Linked DNA regions of Saccharomyces cerevisiae S288C. The gene in region 1 interacts genetically with each later gene. Each region holds a gene or a part of one and is shown in the gene's direction. Other genes may lie near its edges. The genes, in order: DIT2, UGA3, RPS6B and GCN20.

Region 1 (7,932 bases):
CGCTTACGTTTATATCTACTTCGCGATCGCTGCCGCTTTTGTCGAGTATTTTGGAGGAACTCTCCACCACTGAGGCTAGTGATCTTATTGGAACCTGCTCTGGCTTGCAACTTCCTACTGCAAGTGTTTTTTGCAAAGGATACAACATATTCTTCGTTCCAACCGTCAATCGTGGCATATTCTGTGTTGGTGTTGCGTACTTTTTATTTTTATTTTATTTTTTTTTCTGTTGGAGCCTGCTAATCAAAGCACATTATTTGTTAGTAGCGTTACGTTCTCCACAAGAAATGTATGTACATTTCAAGTTCTAATACCATCGTTTTCCCTTTTTCATCGAGAAAATTCGTATAACGCGATTACGTATTAAGTGATCTTCTGTGGGTTTCAACGGCTATTTTGAAAAATACAAGGAAAATAAATGCGGTATTCCTATATCCCAGTGAAAATGCCAATAACGTAGACAAGCTCACTTCGTCGATTTATTCTCTAACATTGGGTCGATCAGGTCTGTCCACCTATCTCTTCTCCCAGAATATCATAGCCTTTCTTTTTCCGTTTCTCCTCCTACACCATTCTCCTTTGCGATTAGACAGTGGGAAAGTCCAAGAATAGATTCACATTTCAACCACTGTATAAATAACTCAATTTCTGAGAATGTTTTTTATTAAAGACCTTTCGCTTAATATTACCCTTCATCCGTCCTTTTTCGGTCCTCGAATGAAGCAATATCTAAAGACAAAACTATTGGAAGAGGTTGAAGGTTCGTGTACGGGTAAATTCGGATATATTCTTTGTGTCCTAGACTATGATAATATAGATATTCAACGTGGGAGAATATTGCCCACAGATGGGTCCGCCGAGTTCAACGTGAAATATAGAGCTGTAGTTTTCAAACCATTTAAAGGGGAAGTAGTGGACGGCACAGTCGTTTCATGTTCTCAGCACGGGTTCGAAGTGCAAGTAGGTCCAATGAAAGTATTTGTGACAAAGCATCTGATGCCTCAAGATTTAACCTTTAATGCGGGTTCAAACCCACCATCATACCAAAGTTCCGAGGATGTCATCACCATAAAAAGTAGAATTAGAGTTAAAATTGAAGGTTGTATCAGTCAAGTGAGTTCTATTCACGCAATCGGTAGTATCAAAGAAGATTATTTGGGTGCTATTTAATCACTTGTTACTCCGCAACGCTTTTCTGAACGCCCGCCTTCGCCTTTCATTATCATTCTCATCCCAAAAGAACTGTGCATGTTATTTGCAATACTTCATATACGCTCTGTATTATTAATAGTATCATTAATTACGTCAATTGAAATTCAAAATATCATCTTTGACAGTAACATCTATCCTCTTAGACAACTAGGGCCATTGCAGTGTCTCGAAACCATTAATATCACTGAAAAGATGAAAAGAAAGGCAAATATATATTGATCACTAATTTTCTAAGCTAAAGAATCTATTCCCCCTCTGTTAAATGGAATTGTGTGAAATAAAATATTATAAAATCAGAACTTTGGGGGGGAAACATAAAAAAATGAGAAAAAGAAAACGAACTAACTAATGTTTAAGTAAAAGAACAAAAAGGTAGACCAATGTAGCGCTCTTACTTTATTAAGAGATTTTCTTGATAACGAAATGTCCTCCTTCTCCAATATCGAAACGAGTATCTTTCCATACACCATCATACATACCCTTTTCGAGAGCCTCCTTGACTACTTTTGATTTTGTCAAAAAGTATTTCTCCTTTTCATCCTCAACCTTCACGACACAATTATGCCAAGGTGTGGGAATATGTAAAAAATCTTCAAATTTGGGTTCATCAAGGTCTTCTAACGAACTAACAATAGAACACTGTTCGTTGGAGATTACTTTTATACCAAATTTGGGCCCGCTGTTAGTGTGCGCATGAATAGAAATTCTCAAATGATGAGGGAATATCAATTCCACTAAGTTCGAATACGCGTCATTTCTCTTAATCATGTTAAAAGCGATCATTGAAATGATTTTCTTGAATTTTTTTCTGGAATAACTTTGGAAATGTTCCAGTAGAGATAAATCTTCCATCATAAAACGTGAAAAGCCCCTATACAGATGCAATCTTGGATGTCCTTCTATTGCAATCTGCTTTCTCAAACGACCTGCATCTGTATCACAGCCTTTCATCAAAATCTGTCTCGACAAATCGGACTTAGGACAGATTTGAGTTCCTGTGTAGTGTGCAACTTCAACATCACTAACCCACTTTGGATCGAAAACTTTACTAGCTGCACCGCTAAAAAATAAATCGTTCAATCCACAAAAGCCAATGGCGTCAACACCAGGTATAGCCACTCTTTTATACAGTTCGTGCAATTTGGTCGTGTAAGTACTCACGACGTCATCATCGACCCCAATACAATCGGAGAAAACATGGCCATCACTAACTATCCAAATTTTCATACCCGGTGGATATATCTTGACAAGGTCTTGTGTGGCTTTTATTAATCTTTTCAAAGCGAGTTCTTCGCCTTTGTCAGGAACGGAACCGTACACTTTTTGCTCATTAGATGACTTACATGGAAACGCTGGCAAGATGCATTCAATTCTCAAATATCGATCGGTAAAATATCTTGAACGTTCAATAAAATAATCACGGCCACCAAAATTCCATTGATCATTAACTATTGTGTTTTTCAAATTTTTCTCAAAAAAATCTGCAAATAATTCGTGATACTTAACTTCTTTGGTTACAATTGGATGTTCACTTAGAGATAATTGAGATTGGTCTAAAATATGATATACGAACCAGTTATTGAAAGAATTTTCATTCTCAACTGTTGTAACACACCCACGAATCTGGCGTTCGTCATCGCGTGTATATTCAGAAATCTTTATTGCCACTCCTAAATTATTGGTAAATTTATTTGCTAAAGAAGCTGGCAAAATTCTTTCAGAAACCCGTCCACTTACTTCGGATTCAGAAAAGTCCAGATTGTGAATAGTGTTGATAAAGTCGAGCCATTGGTCTCCAAATTTACAATTCTGTTTTTCCTCTAAAGAGTAAAAATCGTCACATTTGTCGCTTCTGCAATACAGGGCCAGAAATTTACTATATGTAGACAAATCGGCCCCATTATGGGGAATATCAATATCTTTCAACGTATCAGTCGATGAAGAAAATGAAGAGGCAGGTGGTGATATTGACTGCTCGGAGCTTGAGGGCAAGTTGCTAGTAAATGTCATTTTTGTTAATGTCTCGACAAAGCTTTACCGAATTAGGATATTAACAAATTGTTTATTTAGTCAAGACTTTGCGGAGGAGCACAATTTATGTGAAAATTTATTTCAATATTTATACATCATTTTTGATTCTGAACCTATTTTCAGAAATTGTTTTACAACATCGTAGGGCAGGCACTATGCCCTTGCAAATTTTATGATATACTGTCCACTGAAAGCAATGCAATCAAAATTCAAATAAACTCCTGAGGGGCCAATAATATAAGGATTTTTAGCACGCGACGTCTGGGATTGAGTGCCATGTATGTAAAGACGAGCAATTACTTTATGTTCCCTTATTTGTGAGGGGTTCCTGGTTTGCTTTTTTCGATCAATTCTCCTGATATTATTGAGTAAATTAGACAAATTGTTAGGAAACAACAAATTCCGATGCTTACTTACCCCTTAAATTTTCTCATTGCTCTTCATTGAGGTTGCATACCTCACCATATTTGTCATAGAAGGTCCCTTAAGGCGCCTTTTTATTTTTTCTTGGCAAGAGAACCCTTTTATTTATGGCCAGACGCGCGTCGCAAAAAAAGGTAAACATCAATAATTTTCCTTCCAGGGACTCTCAATAAAAAGACTGTAACTTGTATTATCAAATTGAGAAGCAATTACGTATTCCACCCCTCATTACTTCCCCGATACAATTTATTTTCACTTCTTTCGATGAATGCAGTGATTTCTATCTTTCCCGAAAATTACAAGCCACGGACCACAAGAGGAATGACTGGTCATCCTGATGCGAATAGTATATTAGGTAGTGCAAAAAAATACATTAATTTTCTTGAAATATTTTCGTTTTTTCAAAATGGTATTTGATTCAGACTAAGAGAATAAATCGAAAAAAGCATTAAAAATGGAGTTGTTAAAGCTTCTGTGTTTGATTTTATTTCTTACTCTTTCCTATGTCGCCTTTGCAATCATTGTCCCACCTCTAAACTTTCCCAAAAATATACCCACCATCCCATTTTATGTAGTATTTTTACCAGTAATATTTCCCATTGATCAAACGGAGCTATACGATCTTTATATTAGGGAATCAATGGAAAAATACGGTGCTGTAAAATTTTTCTTTGGTTCACGGTGGAATATTCTCGTTTCTCGTTCTGAGTATCTAGCACAAATATTCAAAGATGAAGATACTTTTGCGAAGAGCGGTAATCAAAAGAAAATCCCATACAGTGCTCTTGCCGCTTACACAGGGGACAATGTCATTAGCGCGTATGGTGCAGTTTGGAGAAACTACAGAAATGCTGTGACAAACGGGCTCCAACATTTTGACGATGCACCTATATTCAAAAATGCAAAAATTTTATGCACTTTGATAAAAAACAGACTCCTAGAAGGACAAACTTCGATCCCTATGGGACCTTTATCCCAGAGAATGGCATTGGATAACATTTCACAGGTTGCCCTTGGATTTGATTTTGGTGCTCTAACACATGAAAAAAATGCTTTCCACGAGCATTTGATTCGTATTAAAAAGCAAATATTTCATCCATTCTTTTTAACTTTTCCATTCCTTGATGTTCTTCCTATTCCTTCAAGAAAAAAAGCCTTCAAGGATGTTGTTAGTTTTAGAGAACTTCTCGTTAAAAGAGTTCAAGATGAATTAGTCAATAATTACAAATTTGAACAAACTACTTTTGCTGCCAGTGATCTAATTCGTGCTCACAATAACGAAATAATCGACTACAAACAGTTGACCGATAATATCGTCATTATCCTTGTCGCTGGCCATGAAAACCCGCAGTTGCTATTTAATAGTTCACTCTACCTTCTAGCCAAATATTCAAATGAATGGCAAGAGAAACTCAGGAAGGAAGTAAACGGCATCACTGATCCAAAAGGCTTAGCAGATTTACCCTTATTAAATGCTTTTCTCTTCGAAGTAGTAAGAATGTATCCTCCTTTGAGCACAATTATTAATAGATGTACTACCAAAACGTGCAAGTTGGGGGCGGAAATTGTTATACCCAAGGGCGTATATGTCGGGTACAACAACTTTGGAACCTCACACGATCCCAAAACTTGGGGCACAACAGCAGATGATTTTAAACCAGAAAGATGGGGTTCAGATATCGAAACCATAAGGAAAAACTGGAGAATGGCGAAAAACAGATGTGCTGTGACTGGGTTCCATGGAGGCCGAAGAGCATGCCTAGGGGAAAAACTAGCCCTAACAGAAATGAGAATTTCTTTGGCTGAAATGTTGAAACAGTTTCGATGGAGTCTTGACCCTGAATGGGAAGAAAAATTAACTCCCGCTGGGCCTCTTTGCCCTCTTAATTTAAAGTTAAAATTTAACGAGAATATAATGGAATAAATATAAAACATGTAGAATTGTATATATACGCATATATGTATACAATCGCGACAACTTTTAGTGAAACTTCTTTGTATCCAGTGAAAATGAAAGGAACAGAACCTGACCAAAGGTCAGTAGAAAAAAAAAAAGCCTTTTATAGAAGTTCTTATCCAATCGTTGACATTTTGTCTGCTCTATTTAATGCTTCAAAAATCTGATCCCAAAAGTACTGGATATTCAAATCGAGACCAATTATTGTACCAACATCACTGTCATTTGGATATTCTTTTTCAATGATAATTTTCCCTGAGTTTTCGTTGAAAACATCATCAATGCAGGATATGTCCATTCTCTTGTAGCGAAATCCAACCGCAGACGATGGATCCCACCCATAAAATTCCAAAAGCGGCATCAAAGCTACCGGATCATGTATAGGTGGGCCCGATTCAAATCCTTGCATATCCTTGTAGGTATGAGCAAAAAATTGAAAAAGCTCCAAAAACAATTCTCGTAACTTGCTGTTATTCTTTTCGTTGTATATCATTTCGTTAACCTTGTAAGTAGCTATGGCCTTGTGAGTTAAATTTAGAGGAACTACTATACATTTGTCCTTTACATCGGGATCACGGAATATGTAATTCGCTGCGTCAGGATCAATCCAAACGTTGAATTCAGCAGAAAGATTTGGGTTACAGTTTCCTAGACCATGGAGTCCACCCCCCATAATGCTAATATATTTGACAGATTTTTTTAGGTATGGTTTACACCTAAAAACTGTTGCTAATGTGGTAAGTGCACCAGTAGACACAAAGGATATCTCTCCATTGTTAGCTAGAATCGCCTCTTCAATGGCCTCAATATACGTTTTATCAGTTCTTGCCTCAAATGTTGGCTTAGGTAGCAAAGAAGTGCCGTCTAAACCTGATATACCATGAATGTCAGGAGCATAATGAGGTTCCCTTTTCCAAGGTCTCTGTGCGCCTTTATAAACTGGAATCGCTTGTGCTTTGCCCATCGCAGTCAAAAGAGAACGGGCGTTGTAGTCAGTATTCTCTGGCGGTGCGTTACCAAAACACGTGCTGATTCCTAGAAGATTGAAAGCTGGATGGAAACAGCCTAATAAAATGGCTATGGCATCATCATGACCAGGATCACAATCTAGCCATATGGGTATTTTACTAACAGTCATCTTTTCTTCAAACAGTCGCTGGTTATTGCTGTCCAACCCTTCCCCAACCTTGCAGATGAGGGAAATTATCTGTTTTAATAAGTTTCGTGAGGTAAAAAAATCAGCAGATTCCATCAAAAGTAGTTGTCACGTATGTGTCAAATATCGCGTTACGTGGTGGTGAACAGAGGGAAAACGTAATCGCGCCTCACAGGTTACCGGTGAGGCTAAGGGAATAAACTTTGAGATAATAATTAGTTATACGTATACATATGGTCGCAGTTATATGCGTTGTCTATTGTACAAATTCTGCTGTATGATTCAAGTTACTGAAGGATATGATATGTCTATCATTGCTTGTGTTCCTGCTCAGGAATAAAGATGTCATTGCCCTGTTCAATAGCCATTCTAGTATGGAAAACAATGTCAGTAGATTCCCATGGATATGCATACCACTTGTCTGGAACAGTTTTAGCTGCAAAATAACGGTTCTTGTCATTCAACATTTCGGCAGGCAAATCTGCTTTCTTTGGTTTTTGCTTATCGTGTAGAACAAAAATCCCGAAGTTTGTTTTCATCTCTGGAGACTTTTCAGTATCGATACCTTTAGCCTTTGCCTGTTCAGCTGCATCCTTTTCCAATTCACTCAAAGCGTAATGAAGTGTGGTACGGGTGTCATCGACTTCGTCAACGATAAGAACGTTCTTGCCGACTAGATCTAATTTACATTGCTCGTAATCAATCCATTGTGTTCTGCTAACCTTAACACCAACTTCCTCAACTTCTGAGCCTACACTGTTCAAATCTTCGTACAAAGACAAAATAATAGCAAAAATTCTGATGGTTGGCACGCCGGGCTCCTTTAGGAACGTACGTAGGATCCTAGCAGGAATGAAACCACCACCACCAATGGCAATGATTAAGTCCGGCTTGAAATTCTTAATTCTCTCAGCGGATACTTGACATAGTTGATGTACGTTGTTGTACGAGATGTATTGCTTATCGTTTGCCGACATTATGGGAACGTAATGGATATAATGAACACGAACGGTAATATAAAAATAAGAAAGATTACAAGGCACTACATCGTATTACTCCAGCTAGATGGAGACTAAAATAAAAAAGTTACGGCAAACCAAACTGCGAAGGGGGAACAAAATCTAACGGAAATTGGGCTTATCAAACATGTTTA
Region 2 (4,554 bases), 1.1 Mb from region 1:
TATGAGCTAGCCAACGTAAAGGTTGAGCTCTATCCCAAGAGGGGAAAGTATTAGTGGAAAATCTTGAATGGACCAACGCCATGTGGGATTTGAAATGCGCATTAGTCAAGTCGGGATAGTAGTTATACACTTGAGCTGGCGTCAATTGACCCTTGTAAACAATGGTGGTATTGTTTAGGGAACAAACATAGAACCAGTTTTCCAGTCCTATTTGAAGAGAGGCCTCCTTCCTTAAAAGATACAATTGAGTTCTAAATTTAGTTTCATTAAACTCCGGTTGTTTTTCATCATACAATGGAACCAATAATGGCTGTAGAATAGTAGGTTCACGAGATAATGCAACGTCTCCTAAAATAGTAGAATCTACGGGGACGTTTCTCCAACCTAATACGGATAAGTTGAAGGATGCAGCTAAATCCTCGAAAATCTTCTGACACTTAATTAAATTTTTCTTGTTATTTTTTTCGTTCTTCTTGAAGAAGACGTTACCTACGGCGTATTTGCCCATCTCAGGTATGTCTAGATCAAGATCTAACTTGAATTCTCTTTTCATAAATTCGTGAGGAATACCTAGCAGAATACCGGCACCGTCACCGTTCCCATCAGATGAGACGGCACCACGATGTGTCATATTCACTAAAAGATATCTAGCGTCAGTAACAATCTTGTGAGACTGTTCACCATGCTTATTTGCTACGAAACCGACACCACAAGCGTCATGTTCATAATCAGGGTCGTAAAGTCCTCGTTTGTCCGGAATCACATTTGCCCAAGATTTATGAAGATGGTGTTCATCGTTATAGTTTTGAATTGTCCCACCTTCGTAAGCTTCTTCCAATGGATCGAAATTGTCTGATTTCAACACTGGCATGCTTTCTTTTCTAATTCTTTTTCTAGTTCTTCAAAATAAATAAATGGCAAATAGATTAAGAAAAAAGAGAGAGTAGAAAGACAAAAATAAATAAAAAAAAACTGAAGCAGAAAAATAAATAAATAAGTTAAACGTTAATCACTACCTCAATGAGCTAAAAGAAGGGGAAGAAAGAGCAACTGAGAGTATCCGTCTGCGTAGTATAGGACTGAGATAGCAATTTCCTATCTTCCTATGATGTGGAGACGATTAGTTTGGTGTGTTATCAAGTAAGATATAAGAATTGATTAATTTGGTAAGAAATGAAACAATAGGACGAAAAATACAATAAGATAAGGAAGACCATCAGAACTTATGAATGACTAAGAAAAGCAGTTTATATTTTTTTTTTGGGCAATTTATTGCTTCTTTTTTTTACGTTTTGCGGGCATCACGTTCGTCGTGACATATGACTTGAAAAATGTGCAAAAGCTTATCGGAGCCAATCGGATTGACGCATTAAAACCGAAGTGTATTAGGACCAAATTTGCGCTGTATAGGGTTGAACGGTAGGGCTACCAGGGTCTGAGTCATCAAAGAAAAAGAAATTACAATAAGAGTCTTACTTAAGATGATATAGAATTGTTGTTATTGTTCATGTATGGATGCCAAGAAAACAAAGTTTTTTAAAGTGAGGTATGAATTATGGCGTGGAGAAGCTGAAATTGAAATATTCGAAGCATGGGTGTATTACTTGCAAGATCAGAAAGAAGAGATGCTCTGAAGATAAACCTGTGTGCCGGGACTGTCGTCGATTAAGTTTTCCCTGTATCTATATATCAGAATCTGTTGATAAGCAGTCTTTGAAAAAAATAAAGGCAGATATACAGCACCAGTTGATCAGCAAGAAAAGAAAGCATGCTCCTGACAGTGCTCAGAAAGCGGCCGTGGCCACCCGTACTCGACGGGTCGGTAGCGACGAACAGGATAACCAGGTATATTTGTCAAAACCGCTGGAAGATTGCATTTCTCAGAAGCTGGACTCTATGGGATTGCAGCTGTACAACTACTACAGGTCTCACCTTGCAAACATAATTTCCATCGCGCCCATGAACCAGAACTACTATCTGAACATTTTCTTGCCAATGGCCCACGAGAATGATGGTATATTGTTTGCTATTCTTGCTTGGTCAGCTAATCATTTGTCTATATCATCATCAAATGAGCTGCGAAAGGATGAAATATTTGTCAACTTGGCGAACAAGTATACATACATGTCGTTATCGCATCTAAAGACAAACGAGGGCTCAAGTGCCTGTGCTAAACTGGGGTTTCTATATTCACTAGCACAAATCCTAATCTTATGTGGTTCAGAGATATGTCAGGGTGATGTGAAATTTTGGAAGATATTATTGAATATAGGAAAAAATTTGATCGAAAACCATGTGGGCAAGGATGTCTCACGGATACTAACCACTACTACAGAAGAACCCTCCCTAGAGGAGAGGATAATCTTCCCCAATTTCAATTCCGTTGTTAAGTACTGGCTGATTGTGAATTTTATATATCATGATATTTTGAATTTCAATACAACGTCCTTCCCGATCGAACAATACGAGAAATTCTTCCAAAGGGATCAGAACTCTTTACCCAGCTCAGCCAACTTTATTGAGTCAATAGACTCGCCAATTGAGGAAATAGACCCTTTAATTGGCATCAACAAGCCTATTTTACTACTATTGGGACAAGTCACAAATTTGACGAGGTTTTTGCAGACTATGGAACAGGAAGAAATGCTAGAGCATGGCGATAAAATTTTGAGTTTGCAAGTCGAGATTTATAAATTACAACCTTCGCTTATGGCGCTGGAACATTTGGATGATGAAAAGAAATTTTACTATTTAGAACTATTCGAGATAATGAAAATTTCTACCTTAATGTTCTTTCAATTAACTTTATTAAAGATTGACAAAGATTCGCTGGAACTACAGATACTGAGAAACAAATTGGACTCGAAGCTAGACAAGGTCATCGGAACTTTTTTGGAAGGATCGTTATGCTTCCCACTTTTCATTTACGGTGTATGCATTCAGGTAGAAGATATGGAGAAAAAAATAGATTTGGAAGCCAAATTTGACGACATTTTAAAACGATATAAATGTTACAATTTCCAAAATGCTAGATTATTGATACGGAAAATTTGGCAAAACGAGGCTGATGGCATCAGTGAGCATGACCTGGTCCACATGATTGACGAATTAGATTACAATATTAATTTTGCCTGAGCAGCATATATTTTCTTTCCCCGCCCCCTGGGTGTCTTAAATTATTGTTTCACCACACAAACATATATATGTTCTTTTTTTTTTTTGTAGGACGTACGGATTCAAAAACAATTTATACCTATACAATGTAGAAATGCTAACGTTGAGACATAGAAGTAATTATTTAATTAACCATTTTAGGTGATTATTTTCAGGGGTGTCCGAGTCCACCTCTACAACATCCACCTGCCCGGTTTGATACCTGTAATCGCCTGTCTTGGAGTCCTCCACAAAGCTTATGCTTCTCTCAGATTTCCTGCGTGGCCTATCCATTATGGCTGCTCCTGCATACGACGTGCCAGTGCCGCCAATCATATCTATATCATGATTGCTTTCCCCGTCGCTTGTACTATCTTCATTCGAGTGGACGTCATGAGCCCATACAGATTTATACCGATTTGCTCTCGGAAATTCATGGCCATCTAGCACTTGTATTCTTTGGTAGTGATCACTATCATTATCCTCGTCACTCTCGTCCCTTTCACAAACGGGGCTTTCCCTTCTCTGCTTTGCAGTCCTTGTTAATTTAGTCTTAGACTTCATTTTAGCTCTTTTATTAGATTTTGTCTTTAATTTGCCCTTGATCTTCAAAATTAACTCATCAAAGTTGTCCTCGTGTGCATCATATACCACCTTATATGATTGTTGGTATTGTGTGGCGAATAAGTCCTGGTTCCAGGCAAAACCTTGACTTTGAGATACAGATATTTTAAAATTTGGCCTTATTTCTGCACTATATGTAAATACCGAACTGGTATTTGAGTATACAATAAGTTTCTCCTTATCCTCCATGACTCTTCAGTAGCGGTTATGAACACGATATAACTATCTGCATTTAACGCTGGTACTGATTTCAATTTATCCTTATCAAATGATACGCTCTTTCCCTTTAAAAAGCGCCCTTACCTCGTTCCGAACGGCGCTAGTAAGAATTTCATCAAATTGCCCTTCTTGTGGGGGGATGCTCATCACAGACTACTGAATATGCATCACAGAAAAGACAAAAAGAACCATTAACATGATTCTGCATATATTTGAATGATTAATCCATGGTATTGATTTAAGGCGGTAAGAAGGAAAATTTAAAATTTGGATATTACCATCTTCTTCTACACTCATATATATTCCTAATTTCCTTTGCATCAGGTCAATCGTGACAGTTGTTGCTTATAAATGCGATTATTTTCTGCGTAATATCCATAATTACTTCAAGAACCCCTTAGGTGACAACCGAAAGTCAGCAGTCACTTAATAGTATTTAGTGTCAGAATTTGTTGGCCTATTTTCTTACATTCACTATATAATACTTACGGGGCTAGTTTTATTTTCTACCACAAATAAAAATAAAGCATCTTTTAATTTTCTTCCCTTGAATGGCTT
Region 3 (7,377 bases), on another chromosome or scaffold:
CGACCAAACCGTACCCGAAGCCAATAAGTAAAAACCTTTTTTCTAATTTATTCTTGTAAGCAGAGTAAGTTGTGTAAATCGCTGACAGTATGAATACGCTGTTAGTTAAAGTGTTTGACCACTCGGCAATATAGGGAGAAACGACATAGTTCTCCTCACACCAGTCAATAGTGGAAGTTGTTTCTCCCCAAACGCCGGGGACAGAACTCTCTGGATAGTTCCAACGAAATATTCCCATCAATCTTCTATTTTCTTAAATAAAGATTTCTGCTTTTATTTACAAATTAATCTCTGTAAGTATCGGACCTTATAAAAACCCCTTACACAATAACTATATAGATGTATATAGGATATATAGATATATATATGCAAATATCTTTTTCCTATAAGCGATAAAAATAAAATGCTACCCGAATTCTATTTAGACATATATAACCGGAGACAGATATTTTTTATGTCATGGGGTAGAGTAGTGCGTTTGAAAGTATCAAACAAAAAGTTTCAGGGGCCGGATCTAATCGGCATAAATATTTTCCGATGTCTCGCGTTAAAAAACTTGCGTGATAATCCGTCCGCACTAGTGGGATCGAAAGAAGGGGCGTGGTCAGAAGGGTAACGTTATGTGAAACCCTTGCCTTTGAATCTTTCCTGCTATGCTACGTCGGCCGACACTTCCATTTGAAAAAAATATAAACGATGGTGTTGCCAAGTATTTTTTTTCGCCTTCGTTTAACGTCAGCATTACTAAAAAGGTTAATGGTTGGCGATACTAACTAAAAAGAATTTGTAGAAATGCCATGAAGATTTTCACGCTGTATACCATGATTCAGCAATACTTTTTTGATAATGGCGGTGTTTATAGTATAAAGAATTTTTATTCTGCAGTTCCGAAGGAGAAAATGAACATAATTCTTGTTTCACTTGATTGTGAGCTCCAAAAGCTTGCTCTTAAGCTGTCAAAGAAAACTAGTGGCACTCACACTACGCACTAGCTTTTACACCACATCGTTATTGTTTTCCATTAACGCTTACGTAAATTTCATCTATCATTCTACCTGTACCGTTCCCGATGATAGTGGCTTACAAAACGGCTTGAGGTACAGTTGGTTCGAACTTTTTGCATTATTGTTGCCTTCTTTTTTTAGTAACAAGCGGCGTCTTTGTTTCTTCTGCAAAAATAATCTCGCTCGAGTAATTGGAGGCTTGGCAAAACTTAAATCTCCACGCATACCCGGCTTCCTATGTTCGTGAAGGACTCAAAAACATGAACTATCCTTATCCATCTTTCTTTTGCCAAATTATTTTAGCCAATCTATATAACACTACATCATTCCTTTGAGTCTTTCTTTATCATTCATTCGAAGGGAGAAATATACGAGCCAAATTCAAAGACAGACTATTTTTTCGAGCAGGCCTATCTCATCAGAAAAAAATTTAATAAAGCTCTAGATAAGCAAACACAATTATTTTCAAAAAAATTTCTGCTAAATGGGTAGAAGAAAAATTGAAATTGAACCTATCAAAGATGATAGAAATCGTACAGTTACTTTCATAAAGCGAAAAGCAGGACTATTTAAAAAGGCTCATGAATTGTCAGTACTTTGCCAAGTAGACATTGCTGTCATTATTTTAGGATCCAATAATACATTCTACGAATACTCTTCTGTTGATATGAGTAACCTGCTTAATGTTCATCAAAACAACACTGATCTTCCTCATAATATCATAGAACCATCTGATTATGGTGACTATGTGAAAAAACCACGTGTTGTTCTGAATGAAAGGAAGCGCAGGCGAAGAAGAGCAACCGTGTTGCAACCAGCTTCCCATTCTGGGAGTTGTACAGTTTCGAGTCAAGATTCCTCCAGTGTACAAAACAATGGGAATTTAAGCGCTCCGTTGGCGTCAAATGACGCCGGGAACGCTGGTGTAAGTACACCATTGGTGCATTGCCACGGAGCAATATCACGTAGCGGATCCAATCATTCTGACTGTGCAAGAAATAGTGCAGATTATCAAATGTTGCAAGGCGGTTTAAATTCTGGTGGGAGTTTTCATGCTAATGATTATAAAGAAAGCGTAGACCAACAGCATGTTGCAAACGAGGCTATTCATAGGAATTTTATGAACAAGAGGATTAGGCCGGATACTCATTTACTACTTTCTGAATCTAACCACTCTAATTATCATAATTTTTACCCGTCGCCTTACGAGAATTTGCCAAAGCCTTCATTGCCTGCAAGTTTAGTGGGCAATATTCCATCCTTTCAATCGCAATTTGTACAGGTTATTCCGGCAAATAGTAACCCAATGGGAAAAGGATTTAATGGGACGGGTGACAGCGAGAGCTTTGAAGCAAAGCAAAAGATACACCCGACAGTTGCTATATCAAATACTTTGGAAGGTCCAGCTCCAGTGCAGGCGATGGTCCATCACCTGCACCAACTGAACAGCAATAGAGGAAAGCTCTCAGGGAAGCCATATTTAAAGCTAAATATTCCGAAGGCCACAAATGACGCTTGCCAGAGGTCGCCAGCAATGTATTCAGGAACCGCATCACCGAAAACGGATGTACAAGCCACTCCCAATCAAATGCTCGCCAGCAACATGTCCTCCCCTCTTTCTCGTTCAAAGTTTTTGGGATTCAAGAACAATGATATGGACGACTTATATCATAATGGCCGATGTGGCAGCACTTATGTAAATAACAAAACATTCTTTCTGAAACCGCCAATTGGAAGACCGCCTAAATTTCCGAAAAGCCCGTCTTCATCTATTGTGGTTTTTCCTTCCTCGGTAGCTAGTTCAACTTTGAAATCCACGAGTTCGACAAACTCTCCAGATTAATGAATCGCTTTCTAGCTACTTTTTACTACAAGAAAGCATTCGCTTAAAATTAAGAGTGTATGTTGGCGCATTTAGGCAAACGTCTTCTAAATTAGGGCTATAGACAATTATGTCGCTCGTACATTTTTCAGATGTAGTGACGCAAATTTCTAGCAATTTGCAGGTAGTGCTCCACGGCCCCCTTCCAATTTTTGTGCACTCAATCGATCAAAACAATAGAGACTGCCCTGTTAACTTCTCAACATAATTATGTAAAAAATTATCTCATTAAGCCAGATAGCAAATATATCACATATTGCATTGATTAATTTGAGAAAAATATACATGTATCTTTTCAGTTAATTTTATTAAAAATAAATTATTTCCTTACTTTTTTTTCTACAGTTTGCACCATTAACCTCTTTTCTTGCATCCATACATCTTTGAACTCCATACATCTTATTTTTTTGCTGTTTTTTTTCAGTGTCTCGGGCATACAGGCCGCTTATCTTCATGCCGGCCCATCATCCTAGGAAACTCTTTCGGTATGGGCCAAGGGCAGGCGAAAATCCTATGTGCGTGGAGCTGATACAATCTCGGCTGGCTTGGTTTGTAGGGCACGGTCAATGAATGCCTGATGGGAGAAAAATTCATCTTTATGAAAAGTGATCTTAATTTGAATAGTGTGCCCTTCAAAACATTTGGAAGTCATTAATTGAAACTATCCAGTGTGAATAGACGACTGAGCCATCATGAAGGTATGTAATATCACCCAAATCCTTAGAATTCTAATGAATCAGCACGCGCTAACCGGCTGTTTCTGACTGTTTGATAAACGTATACCCACAAATTAGTGCACTATAATAAAAATTCTCAAGAACAACGTTGTTTAAACGAGATAATTCCCTCTAATATACACGTACCGACACTTAGGAAAATATCTCGCTAAGTTCAAATTAAGGAATGAAAAAGGAATTTACGAAAAGGGTTTAGAAATATCAATGAAAATAAGAAAAACCTGTAACGGAAGAAAGGACAGCAGGGATTCGTTGGAATTTGTCGATATTGGCTTCGGACAACTTTACTAACAAATGGTATTATTTATAACAGTTGAACATTTCTTACCCAGTCAACGGGTCTCAAAAGACCTTCGAAATTGATGATGAACACCGTATTCGTGTTTTCTTCGACAAGAGAATCGGTCAAGAAGTCGATGGTGAAGCCGTTGGTGATGAATTCAAGGGCTACGTCTTCAAGATCTCTGGTGGTAACGACAAACAAGGTTTCCCAATGAAGCAAGGTGTTTTGTTGCCAACTAGAATCAAGTTGTTGTTGACCAAGAACGTTTCTTGTTACAGACCAAGACGTGATGGTGAAAGAAAGAGAAAGTCCGTCAGAGGTGCCATTGTTGGTCCAGATTTGGCTGTCTTGGCTTTGGTCATTGTCAAGAAGGGTGAACAAGAATTGGAAGGTCTAACTGACACTACTGTTCCAAAGAGATTGGGTCCAAAGAGAGCTAACAACATCAGAAAGTTCTTCGGTTTGTCCAAGGAAGATGACGTTCGTGATTTCGTCATCAGAAGAGAAGTCACCAAGGGTGAAAAGACTTACACCAAGGCTCCAAAGATCCAAAGATTGGTTACTCCTCAAAGATTGCAAAGAAAGAGACACCAAAGAGCTTTGAAGGTCAGAAACGCTCAAGCTCAAAGAGAAGCTGCTGCCGAATACGCTCAATTGTTGGCTAAGAGATTGTCTGAAAGAAAGGCTGAAAAGGCCGAAATCAGAAAGAGAAGAGCTTCTTCTTTGAAGGCTTAAGTATGTCTTGGACCTGCATAATTTTTATACTTTTTCCTTTTAGATATATGTACTTTTGGCTTAATTTAATATAATTAACTATAACTTCGATTTTATTCTTTGAAGGTCCAAATGCACGTAATTCATAAACTTATGATGCATTGTTCTATTTCTTGAAGTCCTTGGGATGAGTGATGAGAAAATTTTCTTGAAAGTTAAATAATATAATAAAATTCTAAAAGTTAAATTTTATAGCTAAACATAAACTATTTCTTAAAATTCTTTGGCAGTATATTTTCTTTGAAAAATGAGAAGATATAATATACCAATCAATGAAATTGAACTGCAGAGACCGAGCCCTGTAAAACACCATCCAATTCCCATTGCGTTACAGAGCTGTAAAATGATAGCGGAACTAATGGCAGCGCCCACATTTCGAAAGAAACTACTAACAGCAACAGTTCCAGCAGCTCTTTTGGGGAATAACTCAGTTAAATATGTCATTGATGTGTTGCTGCACCAGGTCATACCAAAGGCAGTGAGAGCGGAAAAAACTAAAAGAACCACAAAATGATAATGAAAGAAGATTGCCCATCCGTATCCTATTGTGCCACATATTGTTAGTAAAATTCCAATTAGGTTCAGTAATAAACGAAACTCTGCCGGGAATTTCTTTTTAGGATGACTTTTGATCCAGCGTGAACGAAGATAATCTGAGAGGTGCCCACCAGATTGAGATCCTAGTAACATAGCTACACCTGGGCAGACATAAGCAGCACCAATTTCTAACATAGTAAAACGGTAGTCATGTTCAAGGTAATACGAAAACGTGACGCTGAACGCATAGTAACTGGAGAACAGGAGTGCAGTACTGACGGACGTGATTATTATTGGAGGACATTTAATCATTTTCCAATATAGTGTCAAACCTGCTTTAGGCGGCTTTGGAAAATTTTCTTGGAAGAAAGCATCATTATTGACTGGTTTACGGATACCAATGTCTGGGAACAGACGCCGATGTGATATTTTATTACCTTCGAAGAATGGAGATTCGTTATTTTCACGTTCATCTTTTTTGTCACCCCATTTAGGGTCTCCATTACCAACTATACAACGTAGCGTTTCTGGAAGTAAAGCAGTAACCAAGATCAATGCTATTCCTGTCATGATAGAAGTGAAACCAAAAAGCCATCTCCAGTAATTTCCTTTCATTAAAATAAGCCCAGCAACAATGGGTGCTATAATAGGACCCATGTTTGGACCCATCATGAAATACGCTATGGCCTTTCCCCTGTGTTTTGGAGGAACAACGTCTGTTACAGTGCCAGCTCCCAGAGAAATCACAGAGCTGGAAGCGAAAGCTTGGAAAATTCTTAAAACAAAAAGGGCAGCAATATTGACTGGTACAGCGGCCAAAAGTATATTAACAATTAACATTAGTGATAACGACACCATATATAAGAATTTCCTTCCACCAAAATCCGCCAGTGCGCCCCAAAACAATGGACCAACGGAAAAAACAGCCATAAATACAGAAACTGTAGCGTTTATTGTTGTTGCACTTACATCATATTCCCTTTGCAGCAATGGTAAAGCCGGTATATATATGTTTCCAGACATTGGGCCCAAAAATCCTATAAAAATGATAATTCCAAAAATGATTAGTCTTTGATCCTTGGAAAAATAAGTATATGGAATATGTGCTTGAGTATCAGGAGAAGGGTCTCTTGACTGGGAGTTCGATGACTTTACAGCAACTTCCTCTTCTTTTGTTTTTGCTTTCTGTGCTGACAATGATGGGGAAGAGTCAGGGTGCTCATGAAAGACATCATGATCTATATTGGCTCTCTTTTGGTTCACCTGATCCCAGCTTTCATTAATTACATCATCTCCTAGATCTTCTAGCGAATGAAATGTTGAGCGGGTTGTTCCACTTTCTTGCGAATTAATTTGCAGACCCAAATTCTTTTTCTGAAACGGTTCGCTTCCCATTGCCTTAATTCTTTTCCCAGCTCTTGAAACTCTTTTTTGAAAAATTACCAACAACAACTTTTCTTACTACCATCCTTCTAGCCTTATCAATATTCTCATATATCTTAAAATTGCAATTGTTGTTACAAAGGAGTTTGTGTCGTTTTTCACCAGGTGACAGAATGTCTGGGTTGAAAGTATCAATGAAAAAAAAAAATGTAGAGAGATGCCAAAACAGTGGCCAACAGGCAGCTTTGGCTACGGAAATGATTTGGAAACCTGCATAAGTATTTCTCCGCGAAATTGGGAAGAGTGATATGGATAGTTGTGATCCACGGTATATAATTCCTTGTGATCCCTTATCTGGCAAGATAGCTATAGTATTACTAATACGTGGCGCTAGTATAATAACTCGCGCAAAGACCGAACGGAGATTAATATTTAAAAGTTGGTGCGCAGTCCGGGTAAATACAGCTTTTCATGCTGAAGAATATGGCCGGGCTAATATTAATTAAGACGGACGATGCATTATTGAAACAGGATAACGCAGGTTACAGTAGCCCTTAATAAATAAAGCAAAGTACATCCGAACATAGCAACATTATCTGATATCACGGATAGAGGCAAAACGGTAGGCTCATTTAACGATGTCTGAAGGAAAACAACAATTCAAAGACAGCAATAAACCGCACAAGGACTCCACAGATCAGGACGATGATGCCGCCACAATAGTACCACAAACTCTTACTTACTCACGCAACGAAGGTCATTTTTTAGGCAGTAATT
Region 4 (8,848 bases), on another chromosome or scaffold:
GTTAAATCGCAATCCGAAGCTATCAAAGATATCCACAGCATTTTTTATTGCTGGTGAAGAATTAGAGGGAAACAAGTATTGTGACACCAACAAAGATTTTAGACAGAATAGATATTTTTATCATTTGTCAGGTGTTGATATACCTGCTTCGGCGATATTGTTTAACTGTAGCACAGATAAGCTGACATTGTTTTTGCCAAACATCGATGAAGAAGATGTCATATGGAGCGGTATGCCTTTGAGTTTGGATGAGGCAATGAGAGTGTTTGACATTGATGAGGCCTTGTACATATCTGATCTGGGGAAAAAATTTAAAGAATTGCAAGACTTCGCTATCTTTACAACCGATTTGGACAATGTTCATGACGAGAATATTGCAAGATCACTAATTCCTTCAGACCCTAACTTCTTTTATGCTATGGATGAAACTAGAGCAATTAAGGATTGGTATGAAATTGAAAGCATCAGAAAAGCTTGTCAGATTTCAGACAAGAGCCATTTGGCCGTTATGTCCGCGTTGCCCATCGAACTGAACGAGTTACAAATACAAGCTGAATTTGAATACCATGCAACCCGTCAAGGTGGTCGTTCTTTGGGCTATGACCCCATTTGTTGTTCTGGACCGGCATGTGGCACTTTACATTACGTCAAGAATTCAGAAGATATCAAAGGTAAACATTCCATCTTAATTGATGCAGGTGCAGAATGGAGACAATATACAAGTGATATCACCAGATGTTTCCCAACTTCAGGCAAGTTTACTGCGGAACATCGTGAAGTTTACGAAACCGTTCTTGACATGCAAAACCAAGCAATGGAAAGGATTAAACCTGGTGCTAAATGGGACGATTTACATGCACTGACACACAAGGTTCTTATTAAACATTTCTTAAGTATGGGTATTTTCAAGAAAGAGTTTTCTGAGGACGAAATCTTTAAAAGAAGAGCTTCTTGCGCTTTTTATCCCCATGGACTAGGGCATATGTTGGGGCTTGATGTACACGACGTTGGTGGTAATCCAAACTATGACGACCCAGATCCAATGTTTAGATATTTAAGAATCCGCCGTCCTTTGAAAGAAAATATGGTTATCACTAATGAACCAGGTTGCTACTTTAATCAATTTTTGATCAAAGAATTTTTGGAAAAGCACCCCGAAAGATTGGAAGTTGTCGATATGAGCGTATTGAAAAGATACATGTATGTCGGTGGTGTTAGAATTGAAGATGATATCCTTGTTACCAAAGATGGTTACGAGAACTTAACTGGTATTACTTCTGACCCTGATGAAATTGAAAAAATCGTTCAAAAAGGTTTGAAGAAACCCCGTTCAGGTTTCCACGTAATCGTTTAGGTATTAACTTTTTTTTACTCGCTTCTAGAAGTTTAGTATATTCTTTTGTACACAGAATTGTATATTTTTTTTATAATCTTGGATTCACCATTTAACTAGATTTGGAAATATAAGGAATGGCACTGAAAAAATTAAGGACCAACCCCGAAGAGCAAAAAATGAATGCGAATTCTGTGGATCGAACACAGGACCTCCAGATAACTTGACCGAAGTTTTTTCTTCAGTCTGGCGCTCTCCCAACTGAGCTAAATCCGCTTCTATTTATGAAAAATTCATTGTTACAGGAACTATAGGACTATAATAACTAGCTGCTAACACCTTTAAATGTGACTTTTCTCATAAGGAAATCTAGCGATTCAGAATTCGAGAATTTTGCAGATTGCAAAGTTTTCTTTTTACCATAATATTTGAGAATGTTGTAAAACTTGAGATAATTATTCGGATGTCATTGTTGATTGAAGATAGCATTCCTATGAGTCGCCCTCGAGGACTTGGATCGAAAAATCTACATAATATTAGTAATTACTATTATTGTTGGAATTGGATAAACCGTCGTCCACCTATTTGAGAAATAGGTAATTATTATATGAGTTATTTGGTTCCTTTTTGTTAAAGTAATAATTTGAAATGCCATCCATTTGGTAATATTCATGTTATTGGCATATTATCATATGCGGTTCAGGAAGATGACATAAAAGTTGAGAAACAGTTATCAACCCTAATGGAAGCTGAAATGCAAGATTGATAATGTAATAGCATAATGAAACATATAAAACGGAATGGGGAATAATCGTAATATTATTATGTAGAACTACCGATTCCATTTTGAGGATTCCTACATCCTCGAGGAGACTTCTAGCATATTCTGTGTACATAATATTATGGTCTTGATCAACAATGCAATCCCAACAGTTATCAAATTATTCAGAAAATTGATCACATTTTCGATAAATCTATTATGAAAGTAAAATTTTGACTCATACCTAAGTTCTCGTTATTCGTTAATCTTATGAACTCATTAACCTTGGCGTTTCAGCATCCGCTATGATTACTAGTGCTTAAACCTTGTTATTCATGCCTCATAATTGATGCCATCTTCTAACCTCGAGCGTGATAAAATTTTTGTAATATGAACACCAATCGGCGGAAGATCATCCCAAAGCCACATATGATGGTGCCTTATAACATTAATAACAACTTCAACTGCTGCATACCGATAATATCTTGACGATTATGCATTCGTGTCCTGATAGCTAATGCCATGAAACAATTCTTTTCAATCGCACTTGCACCTTCGTGAAATAGAAGGGTTATCTGGGCTTATCAGACTTGTCCACAGTTTACATATAATTTTTTTTCTGTATTAAATTTTGTGAGCTTTCTTTTTACTCAAACGAACTGTGTTATTTTTCGTTCATTAAATGCGTACCTTTAAGCATCATCAAGTATTGCTCTTCGGGAAAAATGAAGTAACCTTGTTAGGTTAATTTCACTAGTACTATACATATTTTATCCTGTATCATACCAGAGGATCATTCTAGCCACAATGGTCGATACGCATAAACTAGCAGACGACGTTCTTCAGCTATTGGATAACCGTATCGAAGATAATTATAGGGTTTGTGTTATCCTAGTCGGTTCTCCAGGCTCCGGTAAGTCTACTATTGCGGAAGAACTTTGTCAAATTATAAATGAAAAATATCACACATTTTTGTCAGAGCATCCAAATGTTATTGAGGTTAATGATAGGTTGAAACCTATGGTTAACCTAGTAGACTCTTTAAAGACGCTCCAGCCCAATAAAGTAGCTGAAATGATTGAAAATCAGGGGCTGTTTAAAGATCATGTTGAGGATGTTAATTTTCAACCAGTCAAGTACTCAGCCCTTACATCAAATAATGAAGAATGTACCGCAGTAGTTGCCAGAGGTGGTACTGCGAATGCCATAAGAATCGCAGCAGTTGATAATCCAGTCAATGTTAACAAGTTGGCCCAGGATAGTATCAATATAGCGCAAATAGTCCCAATGGATGGTTTTCACTTATCTCGCAGATGTCTAGACCTATTCAAAGACCCACAAACTGCCCATAAAAGAAGAGGTTCGCCCTCAACGTTTGACAGTAACAATTTCTTACAATTGTGTAAAATTCTAGCCAAGACGTCCCTATGTAAGGTCTCCTCACATCATAAATTTTACTCCACTTCAAGCGTTTTTGAGAAGTTATCCAAAACTTTTAGCCAAACAATTCCTGATATCTTTGTTCCAGGATTTAACCATGCACTAAAAGACCCAACTCCAGATCAGTACTGTATTTCCAAATTTACAAGGATAGTTATACTTGAAGGGTTATACCTACTGTATGACCAAGAAAACTGGAAGAAAATTTACAAAACATTAGCTGATACGGGAGCACTTCTTGTTTATAAGATTGACATAGACTATGAGGCCACCGAAGAAAGGGTGGCCAAAAGGCATTTGCAATCAGGGTTAGTCACGACTATTGCAGAAGGACGAGAGAAGTTTCGCAGCAATGATTTGTTGAATGGCAGGGATATAGATAATCATTTAATTAAGGTAGATAATATCGTCCATATCCGCAACGACTAGAAGGTTAGGCGGAACCTTGTATATATTTTTGTAAAATCGAACTGAATACAGATAATTAAGGCGCGCAAGCAAAAACGGCATTCTTTATGAACTCTGCAGAGGTGCCCTTTATTACGACATATATGGGAAGTAATACATATTGATTCTACAAGAAGTTCAAGCCAAGGTTTAGATATGAGTGACCAAATCAACGTTTTGTCAATGCAACAACAACAACAGCAGCAGCAGCAGCAGCAGCAAGTATATATGTCTCCTCAAGCAGAAAACTTGAATCATATGTACTTGTTAGTTAACAAGCTAGTGAAACAGTTGAGGGAAAATCAAGCAGAAAAGGCGAAAATACTAAGGAACATAGACATATTATCCGGAAGCTTAAACAAGTATGAGACATCTGAAGAACCTCACGATACCACGGAAAATATTGCATTATTTAATAGATTTCTAGAACAAAGAGGGAAAGCTCCTATTACTGAGAAAGAGCAACTAAGCAACAATCTGGATGAAAATGCGAAAGATGACGTTATGCTAGGAGTGTTGAAGCGCCAAAATTCAATGCTCCGGAAAAGTTTACAGGAATCCAAGCAGGTAACCCTTGAATCCATGGATTTATTGTCTTACTCCGAAGACTCTTTAAATTACATTGTCGCCCAATTAAGAGGAAACATTCTAATGCATCATAAAGAGACTATCAAATTGATTAGGCAGAAATTCCAGACGGAGACAATTCCCCTCGAAGATGAAGAGTTCAAGATGTATTTGGAAAATGTTAATGGTCTGCAAAAATTGACAGATATATCTCACACTTATAGATTACTACTGAGGTTACATGCACAAGATTGAAACTTTGCCCTTTTGCTTCCAATGAAAGCAAGATGACAAATATACATGCTTCTTATATTCGAGATTGCGCAAAAATTCGAAGCTCATTTATGAAGGCTTTTTCCATTCTGATATATGTTTATGAAATTGAAAAAGTAACGACGGTGGAACATTTTGCGGGAAAACAACTCACAGAATGTCTTGACGTTCTTTTCCTGCAGTTGCGTGCGTAAGATATCCTAAGCTACTGTATTATTTGCCAAAAATAATAAAATGTTGGAGGAAAGCCTCTATAAATACACAGGATATATATGTTTAATAAACATATATAATTTCCTCAATATTTGCAAAAGCATTTTGTTGTGATGAGAGTCGATTATCGTTTACCGATTAGTATCTATACTATTAATATATTTTCATATAATTAGTATAATCTCATATACGCTGCCAGAAGATAACATGAAAATTAAGAAACAATCATCAGCTTCAATGGAAGTTGAAGTGCAAGGATAAATAATACTATTTAGAAATATGGATTTTCCCTCGTTGACTAGAAGATCTGTGAAGATTGGGTGAATAGTTTAATAATTATTGGATCCCATTATTGATCAAGGCTATAATACTTGACTATTTGGCGAATTTTGAGATAATTGTTGGGATTCCATTGTTGATAAAGGCCATAATATTATGTATACAGGATATACTAGAAGTTCTCCTCGATGATATAGGAATCCTCGAAATGGAATCTATATTTCTACATACTAATATTACGATTATTCCTCATTCCGTTTTATATGTTTCATTATCCTATTGCATTATCAATCCTTGCACTTCAGCTTCCTCTAACTTCGATGACAGCTTCTCATAACTTATGTCATCATCTTTACACCGTATATGATAATATATTGATAATATAACTATTAGTTGATAGACGATAGTGGATTTTTATTCCAACACACTAATTATCATTCGTTACATCTCAAATTGGTTAGAGAAGTTACAAACATTATTATTGATTTATCCAAGGATAGTTTTCACAAGAAAACAAGCGCAAGTGGTTTAGTGGTAAAATCCAACGTTGCCATCGTTGGGCCCCCGGTTCGATTCCGGGCTTGCGCAGTTTCTTTTTTTTCTGATTTTTATTTTTTTGTTCCTGAAAATTTTTCGTATTATTAGATCTAGTAGAAAATGAAAGACATTTGAAAAGAGAAATATATATTCTGCAGTAAGCTAGCTAAGACTAGTCGTTTTGAAGCGCTAAAACGTTAACTTCGATTCATAGCACAAAAGGTAAATAACTTTTTTGAAATGGCAAGCATCGGTTCGCAAGTGAGAAAAGCTGCTTCTAGTATTGACCCTATCGTCACGGATTACGCAGTGGGCTACTTTAACCACTTGTCCGGAATAACTTTTGATGCTGTTCAAAGTAAGCAGGTAGATTTGTCCACTGAAGTGCAATTTGTGTCCGATTTATTGATTGATGCGGGTGCGTCAAAGGCTAAAGTTAAAGAACTATCGGAAAGTATTTTGAAGCAATTGACTACTCAACTAAAGGAGAACGAAGCCAAATTGGAATTGACCGGTGATACGTCCAAGAGATTACTTGATATTAATGTCTTAAAGAGTCATAACAGTAAATCCGATATCAACGTCTCATTAAGCATGCTGGGTGTGAACGGTGACATCGAACATACTGGTAGAAAGATGGAAACAAGAGTTGATTTGAAAAAACTGGCCAAGGCTGAACAAAAGATCGCAAAGAAAGTCGCCAAGAGAAATAACAAATTTGTTAAATACGAGGCTTCTAAATTGATCAATGACCAAAAGGAGGAGGATTACGATTCTTTCTTTTTGCAAATCAACCCTTTAGAATTCGGTTCATCCGCTGGTAAATCCAAGGATATCCATATTGACACTTTCGACTTGTACGTTGGTGACGGTCAAAGAATTTTGTCCAACGCCCAATTGACTCTAAGTTTTGGTCACAGATATGGTCTTGTGGGCCAAAATGGTATTGGTAAATCTACTTTGTTAAGGGCTCTATCTAGAAGAGAGCTGAACGTCCCCAAACATGTTTCGATTTTACACGTGGAACAAGAGTTAAGAGGTGATGATACAAAGGCTTTACAAAGTGTGCTGGATGCAGACGTTTGGAGAAAACAACTATTAAGTGAAGAAGCCAAGATCAATGAAAGATTAAAGGAAATGGATGTATTAAGACAGGAATTCGAAGAAGACAGTTTAGAAGTTAAAAAATTGGACAATGAAAGAGAAGACTTGGATAACCATTTGATACAGATTTCTGACAAATTAGTCGATATGGAATCTGACAAGGCTGAAGCTAGGGCAGCATCAATCTTATATGGTTTGGGGTTCAGTACGGAGGCACAGCAACAACCCACTAATTCCTTTTCCGGTGGTTGGAGAATGAGATTGTCCTTGGCAAGAGCCTTATTCTGTCAACCAGATCTTTTGTTGTTAGATGAACCTTCCAATATGTTGGATGTGCCATCCATCGCTTATTTAGCAGAGTATTTGAAAACATATCCAAATACAGTTTTGACAGTTTCTCACGACCGTGCATTCTTGAATGAAGTGGCTACAGATATCATTTATCAACACAACGAAAGACTAGACTATTACAGAGGCCAAGATTTCGATACCTTTTACACCACAAAGGAGGAACGTAGAAAGAATGCTCAACGTGAGTATGATAACCAAATGGTTTACAGAAAGCACTTGCAAGAGTTTATTGACAAATACAGATACAATGCTGCCAAATCACAGGAAGCTCAATCAAGAATTAAGAAATTGGAAAAATTGCCCGTTTTGGAGCCACCTGAACAAGACAAAACCATTGATTTCAAATTCCCTGAATGTGATAAATTGTCTCCACCAATTATCCAATTGCAAGACGTTTCCTTTGGTTATGATGAAAACAACCTATTATTGAAAGATGTTAACCTGGACGTTCAAATGGATTCCAGAATTGCCCTTGTAGGTGCCAATGGTTGTGGTAAGACTACACTGTTGAAGATTATGATGGAGCAGTTAAGACCACTAAAAGGCTTTGTATCAAGAAACCCAAGATTACGTATAGGCTACTTCACTCAACATCATGTGGATTCTATGGATTTGACCACGTCTGCAGTGGACTGGATGTCCAAATCCTTCCCAGGTAAAACTGATGAAGAGTATAGACGTCATCTAGGTTCATTTGGTATCACTGGTACCCTGGGTCTACAAAAGATGCAATTATTATCCGGTGGTCAAAAATCTCGTGTAGCATTCGCTGCATTGTGTTTAAATAATCCACACATTTTGGTTCTGGATGAACCTTCTAACCATTTGGATACCACTGGTCTAGACGCTTTGGTAGAAGCCTTGAAAAATTTCAACGGTGGTGTCTTAATGGTTTCCCATGATATCTCTGTTATTGACTCTGTTTGTAAAGAGATTTGGGTTTCAGAGCAAGGTACTGTCAAGAGGTTCGAAGGTACAATTTACGACTATAGAGATTACATCTTGCAGTCTGCTGATGCTGCAGGTGTGGTTAAAAAGCATTGATTATTTAGGAAGCACCTCAGAATATATTTTCCATAGAAGCCTAAATTAAGTATGCATTCATAGCCCCATGATACTTTTTTTTTTTGACTACTTGTATTGGAATCTAATTGACCTAACTGGGCATTCTGGGTCATTGGTATATGTATCACTTTTTACGTAAAAAAGTAGTGGCTAATATAAAACATAAAATCTACAAGAAGGGTGAAGTGCTTTTCGAATTTTGCCACTGCAAGTAATTGGTGCAATTGAAATACGAGATTTCGTTCTCTAAGAGGATATAAAAATAAGGAAATTAGCCCTACCTATCCTTGTGTTAAAATATGAGCGGAGAAACGTTTGAGTTCAATATTAGACATTCTGGTAAAGTTTACCCAATAACACTTTCCACTGATGCTACTTCAGCAGATTTGAAAAGCAAAGCAGAGGAATTGACCCAAGTCCCAAGTGCCCGCCAAAAATACATGGTTAAAGGTGGCTTGTCTGGCGAAGAGTCCATTAAA

The links.
Region 2: mutations in DIT2 (region 1) and UGA3 together harm fitness more than expected from each alone (negative genetic interaction), as found in Saccharomyces cerevisiae (2 studies listed by BioGRID).
Region 3: mutations in DIT2 (region 1) and RPS6B together harm fitness more than expected from each alone (negative genetic interaction), as found in Saccharomyces cerevisiae (3 studies listed by BioGRID).
Region 4: mutations in DIT2 (region 1) and GCN20 together harm fitness more than expected from each alone (negative genetic interaction), as found in Saccharomyces cerevisiae (2 studies listed by BioGRID).

Annotation. Positions count from the first base shown.
Region 1 is NC_001136.10:1,269,892-1,277,823, reverse strand, and holds DIT2 (putative cytochrome P450), read left to right. Parts: upstream 1-4,120; coding exon 4,121-5,590; downstream 5,591-7,932. Other genes in the region: mitochondrial 54S ribosomal protein uL23m MRP20, read right to left, coding at 1-178; DNA-directed RNA polymerase II subunit RPB7, read left to right, coding at 655-1,170; DIT1 (Dit1p), read right to left, coding at 1,612-3,222; URH1 (trifunctional uridine nucleosidase/nicotinamide riboside hydrolase/nicotinic acid riboside hydrolase), read right to left, coding at 5,739-6,761; HPT1 (hypoxanthine phosphoribosyltransferase), read right to left, coding at 7,091-7,756. UniProt on the Saccharomyces cerevisiae protein: Involved in spore wall maturation. Thought to catalyze the oxidation of tyrosine residues in the formation of LL-dityrosine a precursor of the spore wall.
Region 2 is NC_001136.10:154,770-159,323, forward strand, and holds UGA3 (Uga3p), read left to right. Parts: upstream 1-1,548; coding exon 1,549-3,135; downstream 3,136-4,554. Other genes in the region: GLT1 (glutamate synthase (NADH)), read right to left, coding at 1-871; UGX2 (Ugx2p), read right to left, coding at 3,295-3,966. UniProt on the Saccharomyces cerevisiae protein: GABA-dependent positive regulation of genes required for catabolism of GABA (UGA4, UGA1, and UGA2).
Region 3 is NC_001134.8:588,976-596,352, reverse strand, and holds RPS6B (40S ribosomal protein eS6 RPS6B), read left to right. Parts: upstream 1-3,578; coding exon 3,579-3,584; intron 3,585-3,936; coding exon 3,937-4,641; downstream 4,642-7,377. Other genes in the region: YPC1 (phytoceramidase), read right to left, coding at 1-238; YBR182C-A (uncharacterized protein), read left to right, coding at 798-992; SMP1 (Smp1p), read left to right, coding at 1,489-2,847; DTR1 (Dtr1p), read right to left, coding at 4,894-6,612; FZO1 (mitofusin), read left to right, coding at 7,239-7,377.
Region 4 is NC_001138.5:156,399-165,246, forward strand, and holds GCN20 (putative AAA family ATPase GCN20), read left to right. Parts: upstream 1-6,089; coding exon 6,090-8,348; downstream 8,349-8,848. Other genes in the region: YFR006W (putative Xaa-Pro dipeptidase), read left to right, coding at 1-1,354; YFH7 (Yfh7p), read left to right, coding at 2,901-3,962; FAR7 (Far7p), read left to right, coding at 4,137-4,802; ubiquitin-specific protease UBP6, read left to right, coding at 8,669-8,848. UniProt on the Saccharomyces cerevisiae protein: Acts as a positive activator of the GCN2 protein kinase activity in response to in response to low amino acid, carbon, or purine availability.